Coturnix japonica: one gene and its partner. The protein of the gene in region 1 purifies or fractionates together with the protein of each later gene. This does not show direct contact. Links are inferred from orthologs where the notes say so. Each region holds a gene or a part of one and is shown on either strand. Other genes may lie near its edges.

What was found.
Region 2: the proteins of FGFR1OP2 (region 1) and PDCD10 purify together in Homo sapiens (affinity purification with mass spectrometry; 3 studies listed by BioGRID and IntAct, counting the BioPlex papers as one, with this or other methods). This does not show direct contact. The link is inferred for Coturnix japonica from reciprocal best matches to the Homo sapiens genes FGFR1OP2 and PDCD10.

What each region holds. Positions count from the first base shown.
Region 1 is NC_029516.1:62,492,909-62,498,565, reverse strand, and holds part of FGFR1OP2 (FGFR1 oncogene partner 2), read right to left. Parts: intron 3,388-5,657; coding exon 3,274-3,387; intron 2,981-3,273; coding exon 2,867-2,980; intron 2,112-2,866; coding exon 1,974-2,111; 3' UTR 1-1,973. UniProt on the Homo sapiens protein: May be involved in wound healing pathway.
Region 2 is NC_029524.1:18,269,799-18,276,139, reverse strand, and holds the start of PDCD10 (programmed cell death protein 10), read right to left. Parts: upstream 3,974-6,341; 5' UTR 3,824-3,973; exon of another isoform or gene 3,781-3,823; intron 1-3,780. UniProt on the Homo sapiens protein: Promotes cell proliferation. Modulates apoptotic pathways. Increases mitogen-activated protein kinase activity and STK26 activity. Important for cell migration, and for normal structure and assembly of the Golgi complex.

The DNA of each region.
Region 1 (5,657 bases):
TTTTCAAGCTATCCGCATTACAAAAATAACAGGTATGCAATGAAAAATAGTCACTCCACACAACGTGAAGGCTCTTTAAAGTCCTAAAGTGATCGGGTCAGGGGAACAGAAGGGGAGACGTATCAAACGTGAAGACTAAGAGTAGATAAATTAAGTCACATATCTTAATTTACAAAAATAAACACTAATCAAGCATTATTTCATAATAGAGCAACCTTAAAGAACTGCCACAGTCTAACAACCCTTCTCTGCTACACCCTCTGCAGACTGTATTTGAGACAGTGCAGGTCAGCCGTGGAGCTGCATTCAGTATCAAACGGATGCGAATGTCTCTGATACCAGCCAACAGCTGAAAAGACACTTGGAGAAAAACCTGAAGCCAGAATTTCTTCCCAGCTGGCAGTGCCAAAACACACTGCGGTACAATAGATGTCGCTGCTGCTAAGTCACCGGCTTGCAAGCTACAGCAGAAATGCAAAAAGCTGTTATGTAAGCATGGGTAACGTTTAGATCACAGCAGGTGTCATTTGGGCTTGAGATCACATTAAGCTCCCTGTAAATCGGCCCATCCACTGGGAATCTTAAGTTCCATTGTAGACCTTTTGTTGCATGTACCTTCGAGTCTATGGAGGTTTTACTTAATATTGTTTTTAAAACAGCCGCATTTGATAGCGCTTAATGCTCCATCCCGCCTGCATTGTTGCAACTGAAAATGAAACTTGTTTAAATGGTAACTGATTGCAGAGTACTTCAACTCATTGTGCGAGGTAAGTAAGTTAGTAAACAGCCCCGATACCGGTTGTACATCTGCAGCCTTCTGTGACTGAAAGCTTTTACTGTACTTCAAGTGTGCGTTCCAAGTAAAGACTATAGTAACACGCTGAACAAAATGTGGTAACTCGCTTAGCAGCAGCCTTAGCGCTCTGAACAATGAGCAGAAGCGGTCTGACAAAAGCCAGCTGTCAATCATTGCGGCGCCTCTTTCATGGCAAACACATCTTACGAAGCACTTCTGGTGTACAGGCAAACCGTGCAAGCTACTTCTTGTTCTAGAAGCGCTAATTCATTTTCACCTCTGCAGCTTTTTCACTAATAAAAGTGAGCAGTCTTGTCAGTGTGATGTATTGAGAGCTCCCAGTGAAAATACACAAAACTCCTTGACTAAATAGTACTTAAAGAAAGAAAATAATAGTTCCAGGTGCACAGTCTGCTAACTTTGCCATAGAATTTCTCACCTCTTTCTCCCAATTATCTTTCCCTCAGTACGGTCTGAGTGCTTTCAAATTGCTGTTTCTAGCTTTGGGCAGCCAATCCCCAAAGAAACAGATGAGACTACGGCAGCCTGCCACCCACAGAGAACTGAGCTTCATTTTCTCTCATAAGGTAAAAACAACTGCAAAAGTATTGCTTATGTTTGAGCAACTGGCCTTACATTGCAACAGGGCAGCCTGCGGCTAACAGGAGCCCGTCGGCTTTCTGCTGGCTCTTTCCATTAAAGAGGCTCGTTGCTAAATGCTGAATTTCACAAACCTTAGTAACTAAAAGGACAAATGAACTATGGAGCATGCACAAAGCGTAGTCAGTCGCTATCTTTTAGCCAGATATCAGACTACTTTAAATCTTGCATTTATTGTATAATAGGTGCACTGAAGTTTTGTCCGAGCAATAAATTATATAAATTAAGTGAAATTATGTATTTTATTTGTAAAATGACTTCATATAAAAATAATTCCCAATTCCATAAGTGCACTAACCCATTTCCTACTGAAGTTAGACCTATGGCAATTAATCTGTCACTACGGTATTCAGAGAGTACCGACTGGAGTTTATTTTACACGGTATAAAAGCCACTAAACCAAAGTTCAAGATGCATAAGCCTGCTGGTGCCCTATTCAGTAACAAGTGCTTGACAAGTGACCCCTGATATTCCGTTTGTAAAGTGTGCAATTAAAGCTGGTTGGCTTCCACAGTCTTCAGCTCTTCCTCAGGCTCAAATCACTGCTTGTTACTAACCCTGAAAGGGATGTACTCTCTGATGCATCTTCTTTCTTAAGGTTCAGGAATGATTCTCTGGTTATCTGAAGAATTTCTCTCAAGCCTTTGTTTTCTTGCTATAACCGAGGGATAAAAAAAGGCATTTAATAGAACTCCAGAAAGTCAGATAACTACATGAAGGATCTCTCCTTCCCTTTACTACAAACACACTTACAAAAGACATGCAACAAACTAGCAGTACCAGTGAATGATCCAGTAACTCAAGAAAGAGACAGTAACTCAGTAACTGTGATAAGGTTAACACCCTTGCTAAGGGCTGAGTTCTAGAAATAACTGAAGCACTGGGAACAACAGAACCAAAGGCATTTTACACACAACGAACTGTACCAGAAGGTAAGTGCACAAAGCGGCTTTTGTTTTACGTGCCGGATTACCACAGAGTTACAAACAGAAAGGATCCCTTTACTGAAGAGTTTACTGACTTTAAAAACTGTTGTTAGGGTTGGTAGCAGCATTGGAAATAATTAAACATTGCACCCAGTTCCTCACTCGATAATAACGTGTGACTTGGTTCCACAACGTCTTATAAAAAAGCAGCCAAATTGGTAGCGCACTGGGAAAACCTTTGTCAAAGGAAATGATTTAATACCGAGGGAGACTGGAAAACCAAGCAGGTGACTAAAGCAAAAGTCTAAATCAGCATCTCAGGATTTGTGGCAATTTCAGCAAATCTACTGCAAGAATACAGAACATGATTTGCTCCCGAGTTCTGGAAAGATGGCACCGCAGCAGAGACCAATCTCATGTCAGCTACAGCCCCCTCAGCTCCTTGATACAACATCAAACTAATTCTCCTAAGTAAACTAATTACCTGAAACAGTCCAGCTCCATGAAGATAGCACGCAGCTATCTTAATGCTGGCTTTGAGTACTGGCAGCAGATGCACGGGAAGCTGGCTATTCCTAAACCCTAAAGTACTGAAAGACTGTAAAAGAAAGGTAGAACTGTAGGGTCAGAACAAGATATTTTGTTTAGAGACGTGGAGCACAATTTAAAGCTTGTGTGAACGTATTTGGGTAGCGGTAACCTGCTCCCCCAACTCCCCAAATAAGTGGCAGAGAGTTTCCCTGTTCTGACAGCCAGACTCTGATCTGTGTGTAATCGCAACTTCTTGTCTCACAGTCAGTTCTGAGCATTTCTCACTGGGAGGGTAGAGGAAGACAGATCCCTATTTGTGCCATCACTGGCACAAATCTCAAAAAAAGATCTCATACTTACTTCAAGCTGAATGATACGTTCCTGCTCTTTACAGCCATGCTTGTCATCAATTTCAATGGCTTTCCTCATTACCGCTGCCATTTCTGTAATTTGGTCCACGTGCACTTGTAGTTCCTACACCATATAGATAAAACAGTACTTTTAGTAATAAGCTTTCTTCATTACTAAAAATAAAGTATTACATGTGCATTTAAACTGCCGTGTCATGCAATAAAAATGCAAACACAGACCTAAACAAAGAAGCGCTAACTCTACAGCATGAGCAGCCACTGCAGTTCTGTTCATTTAAATCAATCTGGTTTGCCACACGGTTCACTTTTAGGAGTTTTACAGAAGAAAACATGCCCAAATGACTGTGCCTTTGACAGCTTCCATGTCTCCCAGATGGCTGTTAGACAGCCACGTGTTTGCTCTGGCAAGAACTTCCTGTACTGCAGGAGCTGATGTATGCGTCCTTCTGGATGTGCAGAAAGGCCAACTTCATCTGAGCACAGCAGCATATTGGACCTGTTTGAAAGCTGGTCGCAAGTCTGGTACAGACAGTACTCGCCCGTGAGTGGGCATTTCTCTGTTAGAAAGAGCAGGCAAAGCTGTCATCCTGACTATGACATAAGTTGGAAAACTCTGAGTCCTTTTTGCGGTACCGCTGCTCAAATCCACTTCCCATTTCAGCTTATCTGGGATCTGGTCTCTAGAGGTCCTTGTCCTTGTTGAACTCTAGAAACACCCTCGTGTCCTGCCTGACCTCCACTAATTAATACCAATAGGGTACTTCCCTATTATAAATAATTACTGCATCTCACTGAAATATTCATGGAGGAGAAAAAAACAACAAGTGCAGTAGTTGTCTTTGCTCATCTTGTTCCACTGCCAGGAAAGTGATGATAGGAGACATTAACACAGGCCTAACAGCCTTTGCAGGGAAGTTAGATTTTGAATAATCTCCCCTGTTTGCAAATAAGTGATATCTTACTTGGCCCTTGTTGGCTTGGGTGATGTTTTACTTTCTCACTGGCCAGCATATCAGCAAGAAGCACTTATAGAGCCTCTGCTTATTTCTCTTGAAAAATGTAGATGAAGAGCCTAAGTGATTTGGCATTCACTGCTGTAGAGTTAAGCCAAATACTTTAATGTATTTACAGACGCTTTTAATTTGTCCAGTCTTTCAACCTGTTTCTTATTCCAAATCCACTAACAGACCTGCCTCTCCATGCCTGGCCTGACCTTTGGGCAAAATTCACAACATTTATTAAATATTACTAGAAAAAGAACAGTAGGACTGAAATCTGCTATGTACAGTGAGGAACAGCACAGATTAAAGTTAAATACCATCTTTAAATGACAAACTTGATTAGAAGTCCACACATCTAGCAGATCATCACCTTGCCCTTGAACTCTCAGAAACAATTAAACTATCGTAAAAAAAAAATTCCTCTGCTTGGAATCACAGTCTGACCAACCATTAAAAATGAACATCAGCCCTTCCCATCCTTCTCTGCTGTTTCAGTTGCCAAAGCTGTGGTTTAGCTGTTTACTCATTAAGTGTTTGTTTGCAGCATGGAAGTGAGGGAAAGGAGTGGGGAGGAGAAAAAGAGCTTCCTGTAAATAAGCTTGTAAATTCTTCTCAATTTCCAGTGAGAGTGGGTGCATTGAGCATTTTTCCTTCACTGAAAGTTGTTTTTCAAGAGTTTCTTAAAAGAATAAATATGGCTTGAAAGGAAGCTGTGATCAATGGTAAAAGAATGAGCAGGCTAGGATGTATCCTGGAGAAGGACTGGGAAGGAATTAGTGGCTTTTAGATACACAGCTGTCTCATTTGGCAAGCTTATGTGGCATCTCGATCAATATGATCTAGAGCCTGTTACAAGGTCACTAACAGGAGATCAGACAGCATGCTTAGGCTCATTACAAGCAATTCTCATGCACACAAGAATGCTAAGAGAAACTGCTGTTCTGTTAAAGGCAGGTGCTTGTTGAGCTGCAGAAATTAATGAGTTAAATAATATTTTGCAAATAGCCACTGAAGTTGACAGTTGCCACTTAAGAAAGCAGTGATTACTGGTAACATTGAGATTAGCTCGTTAGGTATTATGGAATTTGTTGTTAATGTGCTAAGAACTATTTAAATACTGCTTCAAGATTGTTCAGTCTTACTGGAGGCGAGGACTGACCAGAGGGATAAATAACAAAATGCCAGAAATCTAAGAGTCAGGAAAGGGTAATAAATCCTCTTTATCAAGTATATTTGTGAGGTCCAACTTAATAAAAATGCCAAAGCCTAAATCTCCCGTTTAAGTAACACTATTTTCCATTATTATTGTTTTGTTGTCTCAAGCTTGTAATTGAGAAAAGTGTTTCTAAATGAAATTTTGAAGTCCATTTCA
Region 2 (6,341 bases), on another chromosome or scaffold:
GAGGAGCTATAAGCTACTGTTACTAACCTATTGTACCATTAAACACCCCATATTAAAACAATTATAGACCATCTATTACCCCTTTTGCAGGTACAGACATTCCTCAAACAAAGTAAATCAACCCTGGACTCACATTATCACAGAGAACTCAAGGGATGGAAGACAAGAGGTAGTGAGGACAAGAGGGGCTTTTAAATACACATGCACACAAAAAACAGGCAAGAACATGAGCCACTTTTGTTGGCAACATCACAGAAGGGTCCAGGTTGGAAGGGGCCTCAAGGACCATGAATCTCTAACCCATCTTGCAGGCAGGGCCACCAACTTCCCCATTTAATACTAGACCAGGCTGCCCATAGCCCCATCCAAACTGGCCTTGAACACCTTCAGGGACAGGGCATCCACAACCTCTCTGGGCAGCTGTTCCAGCACCTCACTAATCTCATGGTCTCAAACATGATTTAGACCAAATCCCCATGCAAACTAAAACCAGCTCCATCATTTTTGTGAATTGTTAGGTAGTCCAATAGCTTTCAGAAGTGTTGCTATGTGTGGCTTTGCTGACAATCAAAAAAGCTGGAATAAGATCCTACAAATAGTTGATCCATTAGAATACCACAGTGTCATGTAATACAGAAAACCCTGGAAAATTGCTGTTAGATGCAAAAAGAACATTACTCAACTGGCCAGTCTGTTAATTGGTCTGAGGGAGAAGACTAGGAGAAATTAGGATATACCATATGAGTTATGGGAAAAGACAGACTACTCAATATCATCTGCATATAAGACTTGTTTCTTTACACAGCAGTCCCACAGATTCAAATGTAGCCTGTTCACCAGCATGTGTAATTACAAGTCATGCCTCACCCCTATCAGATGAAATCAATCATCAGAGGGAAGGAACAAGATGGATATAGCCAGTGTAAAGAGAATTTAAATTCGAAAACAGTGCTAAGATGCAAGCTAATATAATCCTGTCTGTTTAGCATTAAGCCAAATGCATCAAGCCCTATTCCCAGAGAATAACTAATACAGAATCTACTTTCACTGTCCATATAAATCTTATATGTTATAACCTTCAATGTTTCAGCACCAAAAGACTAGCCCAACTATTCAGTAATCACAGAACCAGCACACTTAAGATGAATTTCAATGTTATGTTATAGATCTATTCCTCCAAATCCACCCAATGAGGTTTTCAATCATTCAATGGAACTGCCTGAAAGGAAAAAACAACACAACACCCTACATTCAGATAAACTTCTTGTAAAGCAGGAAGATGAAAAGCAAGAAACTCCACACTTTCCCAAAATGTACAGCTACTGTTACCAGTGCCCAAGACACAAACTTGCTTTTCTCATCTATGCTATTTTCTGACAGGCACTTAAAAGTCAAGTGGCAGAAGAACCAGGAAGGGCAGAAACTTTCCCAAATCCACCTTTGCTCACTGGTCAGTGTGAAAACAATCTACTTGTCTATGAAAGAAAGTATTTTGCTTCATACTACCTTTTGAAAGCATGTTTAAAGAGAAGACAGAGTGTTATGCTTGGAACTTGAAAGAAGTTGGAAAACAATGGAAACATGAAGTTCCAGATGGCAGAATTTCACTCCTCAGCTACGTCACCTACCTACACCACTGGTGCTGTCTCCATTCCATTCTCCAGGCTCCATTTACCTCAGATGTAGATAATCTTAAAGCAGCCAAACGTTTGTGCTATTTCTTTTTAAGCCTGCTCCTTCTTTTTAAGCGAAGTACCAAGTGGAAGAAGGCCTGAGGCATTGATCTACCTGCATGATTAATTCAATGACTGGTTTTTAGGACAGAACCAGAAGTTACAGCTCTGCTCCTCCTAGAAAGATTATCCCCACTAACAAGAAGTTCCACTCCACTTCTTGTAGGGAGGATTCAAGAAGGTTGTGTTAAGAGAAAATCCACTAAGATCTTTGCCATCAGAAAAACTTAAGCTTAGTAAGAAAGAACGGGATAAAAACAAACACTTAACTTGAGGCCTGTCCCAAATTCAGAGGCAAAGACCTTGGCCTTTATTTGTAAAGCCCAAGTACATGGCTAATATGCAGTTCTAACAGTGTACCTACCCTGTGCACAACTTGGTACCTTTAAGTTTCTCTTGTTAATGGTTGCTCATAATAAACTGGAAAAAAAAGCACAAGTTCCCCCCTTCCGGAGAGAAGTTACCTACATAGTACTTCCATTCGTAGATCATAACCACTCCTCTTGTATAACTTTGACTGCATAGTACAAAGCTGAAAGCCTCTGTGCCTCAAATACTGAGCTACTTCTCTTATTAGAGCTGGGGACAGGATGGTTGAATTCACTGAAATTGGTGTCAAGTGCAGCTATGATGATAACAACCTCTGTATTCTAAAACTAATAAAGACAACAAGAAACCTAAAGAAGCAGCCTACTGTACAGGTTCTGTATTAAGCTAATGCTTACATTCAGCACCTTCCCAAAAGAGATAACAAAAGGAATACTATCAGAAAACAGCACTCAAGTTTAATAGGCATCTTTAAATGCCTCTTAGTAGAGCAAACATGTACTCCTCAAATACCTGCATGCACATCTATCACAGCCACTTCCAGATGAGTTCACTCTGACAGAGTATAACTGCTTGTGCATTTTATTATTGTGAAGCCAATTTGGGTGACTAAGTTGCACAAACTTGCAGTAAATTCAAGAAGCCTATTTTTAGACGGTTACTTCAAAATACTCTGAAATCTGGCTTTCAATAAATCTGTTGTCTGAAGTTCAGAATAGAAATTATTTAGTACACCCTAATACTTTGGTTTTGTGTCTGCCTATCACATGAAAAACAAAAGATGCCTGGACTAGGCCCTAATTTCATCTCTCTCTTGTACTATCACTACTGACACGCAGACAAAGTTCATTTCTCTTTTGTTAACATGTCTCTTTTTAAGTACTAGAAGGCCACAAAGAAGCCTCTCCAATACAGAATAACACAACACATCCCTGTTTCTCTTTCAAGCTCTTTTCCTCTTCCAAGGGAATTTGAAAGTAAAACTACTCAGTTCTCATTGCCCTATCAACCACTAACAGATAAACCACAAACAGAAACAGCTCCAAACACAATAACACATCCCAATGGGTAAACAACCAGCACTCAGCAATCAGTTCCTCTGATAACAAGAACACATCCACCTGCCTCAAGGCTTCAGCAGCAAACCTGTGCCCCCTATATGGACAAGCCCCAGGAAGGCCACACACTCGCCACTCATTAATCATATAACAGCACACTAAGGTGTTTAACAACACCAGCCTAAAGCTTGGTTTAAAGAGGAAGCACGACGTGATCACTTTCTATCCTCCCCCAGACGAAAGGCCCCACCTGGAGCGAACCAGGCCCAGCCCTGACAACGCCGTTCAGCAGTACGAGGCCGGGCTAAAAATACAACGCAGGCCTAACGCTGCCAAGAACAGCCATAGGGCTGCGGACGGGGGTTGGTACCCGGCCCTACCAGGAGGGATCCGAGCGGGAAGGGCGGAAACAAGGACGAGCCCTTGGGCCAGGTCACCCCGCGGTAGGAAGAAAAAGGCCGAGGCCTCACACCTGCAGCAAACAACGTTTCTCCCCTCACCCAGCCTCAAACCTGAGACAGTTTAACGCTTCTAACATAGCACAACCCCAAAAGGAAACCCAGGCCTTACACCGGTGACCCCCACCCTCTTCCTCTGTGTCTCTCCAGGCGCTTATCCCTTTAAAGACATGGGCCTAGAGAAGAAAACGAAGCCTCTCTCACCTCACCGCCTTACCTCGATACCTCTCCGCCCCGCAAAGCTCACCGAGCTCCGAGGGGGCTCCTCCACCTCGCCGGAAACCCAACAAGGAGGAAGCGTCCGCCGTGTTACCACACACCAGGCGTTGTCCGGAACTAACCGGCAGCCGCTCGGATACTTGGGATTCGTAGTCCTCTCTCCTCAACTACAACACCAACAATGCAACGAGGCGATAAAAGGGGCGGGTAGGAGGGAATGAGGAGGAGTATAGGAGTAGAGTCTATTCAATCAGAGCTCGAATCTGGACGGGTGGGCGAGGCCTGGACGGGGCGCGGTGGCATATCCCGGCGCGGGGAGCAGCGGCTGCACTTCTCACAGTGGAGGGGGGTGGTGTTGAGCTGCTGCTGTGGTAAGTGCCTTTAGCCTGCTGTGTTCAGCCGGTGCTGTGTTTAGGGTTGCGGGAGCAGCCTGCGGTTTGATGTCGGTGTGAAGCTGCGTGGCTCCGTAGTGCGGGTTGTGTGTCAGTGCCTGAGGGGAGGTGGTGGGTGATGTGGGGAGAGAATGGGGAAGGAAGAGAGCAATAATAATGTGGCGTCCTGCTGTCCCGGCACCTGCAGCCTGTCCACCTGAGTGTGTTTTATGCTATTCTGTGGTCTCCTGAAGCTCTGTCCCAGCCGTGGTTTGAGCGTGGCAGAACGAAGCTGCCCCAGCCTTGTGCTGAGCTGCTGCCTCTCTCCTCTCTATCTCTTGGCTTGTGTTGCCCTGTAGGTGTCCCCTATATGGGCTGTTTGACAACGGTCGCGTTACTTTTGGTGCTCGCAGTTATTGGAAAGCTTTAAGGTGAAGCTCTTAGTAACCAATATGAATTCCCATCAATACGCAGCTCAGTTCTAGGTTTGAGCCTTCGTTTCTAATGCGTTAGCTTGCAACTTTTCCTGGTACTGTTATTACTTTGGTGAGGCGTATGCGGGTTTTGCTGTAAGCAGGTGATGAATCGGTGCATCGCGGTGCTCCTGAATGCCAGCTGCATCTCCTTGCAGCGCCGAGGTGGTGAAATGGGAAGATACTGATATATGTGTGGGAGCAGAGCCCTTGTGTGTGCTACCCATACATGCTACCAGTGCCCACCATCTGCATGTAGGTAAGGAAGGATGCTAGAAAACAACTACTAGATTTGTCATGCTTTACTGTGTATGCGGAGTATTTGTCTTTGATTCCTCAATTATTTTGATGCGATCAGTGCTTTAATCCAGCAGAAAGCCTTGCTATTTAGTTTGTGTGACAGACACAGAAGCATTATAGCATGGGTTGAGGTGCATATGCATCTATGATATTGTCATTCCTTAGTGGTTGTAAAGTGATGTTAGGAAGCTGCAGTCCTACTGGTGCTAGTATTTTACTTTAAGTCACAGCATAAGTAATGCTTAATGATGCTTTCCTAGATTTACTTAATATGCTCTTTGACCTGTGTTCAGGCAGTCCAGCAGAGCTCCAGGAGTGTCTGAGTGTTCCATCATTGTAATAACTCCCAACAGTTATTCTATATATGTCAATGTCATATGTTTACTTACCTCTTAATTCAACTTTTGTTTTGTTACTAAATGGAGCAGTGGAGAGGAGATGGTGCTGGTAGGATCCTTTGCACCAAGCTCTAGCTACTCCAAGGTCTTTAGTATGCTTTCTCACTTATGTATCTGTATGGTGACTGTTGAATCAAAGCCTGAACCACTGATTGTGCACCTGGGGAAAGGACCCAGTCAACTGGGAGCACTGGTGAAGGCTTCACCAGTTCAGAAGGAGCGGAGTCTGGCTGTGTCTCTCTTAGACCACACTGAAGAGCTGACTGCCACTGGGGAAGAATCTCTGTCTGGAGATCCCTCCCTTGTGGTGTTTTCCTTGTGAACCCAGATCTTCAGTGATGGGTGAGCCCTTTTCCTTTGTAACACCATCACATTCCCACTATTCCCTTTGCTTCTGTGCTCCTTTATCGCTCTTCCACTTTGTTGACCTTTCTGATTGCTCCAGTATCTTATTGCTTTCTCCAACTCAAGTTTTGTTGCTCTTTATCTATGTCTGTCACTCTTGAATGTTTAAAGTAACTTGTTAGCAGATATTCTGTGTAGGCAGTATATTATTCTGTCTGCCTGAACATGAATTAACATGTTAAGTGTCCTGTGATTCTCTGCTTAAAATTATTTAGGAGGTAACCATTAATATTCAAGGTAGTGGGCAGATAGTAGGGATAGACATCTATGAAGTAACATGTTTAGTGGTAACTTTGTACCTTTGAAGATCAGAGTAGTTGATTTAAATTTGGAAGCGTCTTCAAAACTGTTGGGTTAGTGGAGTTTGTTGGTGAGTATAAATGTAGGTAAGGTAACCTGTGCATTTTGTTAATAAAGCCATGCTGTATTAATAAGCTTTGGTTTTTTTTTCCTGTTGGTCTCATACATGCAATGTGCTTCATGTTGATCCTTCAGCCAAGCTGAAATTGGGTGTCTATAACACAGCCCTGCTGGTAGGGTGGTCACTGCCTGGCATTGCTTGGCAGAGTAGCAGCGATGTTCTTTTAGCTGTTTGTGTT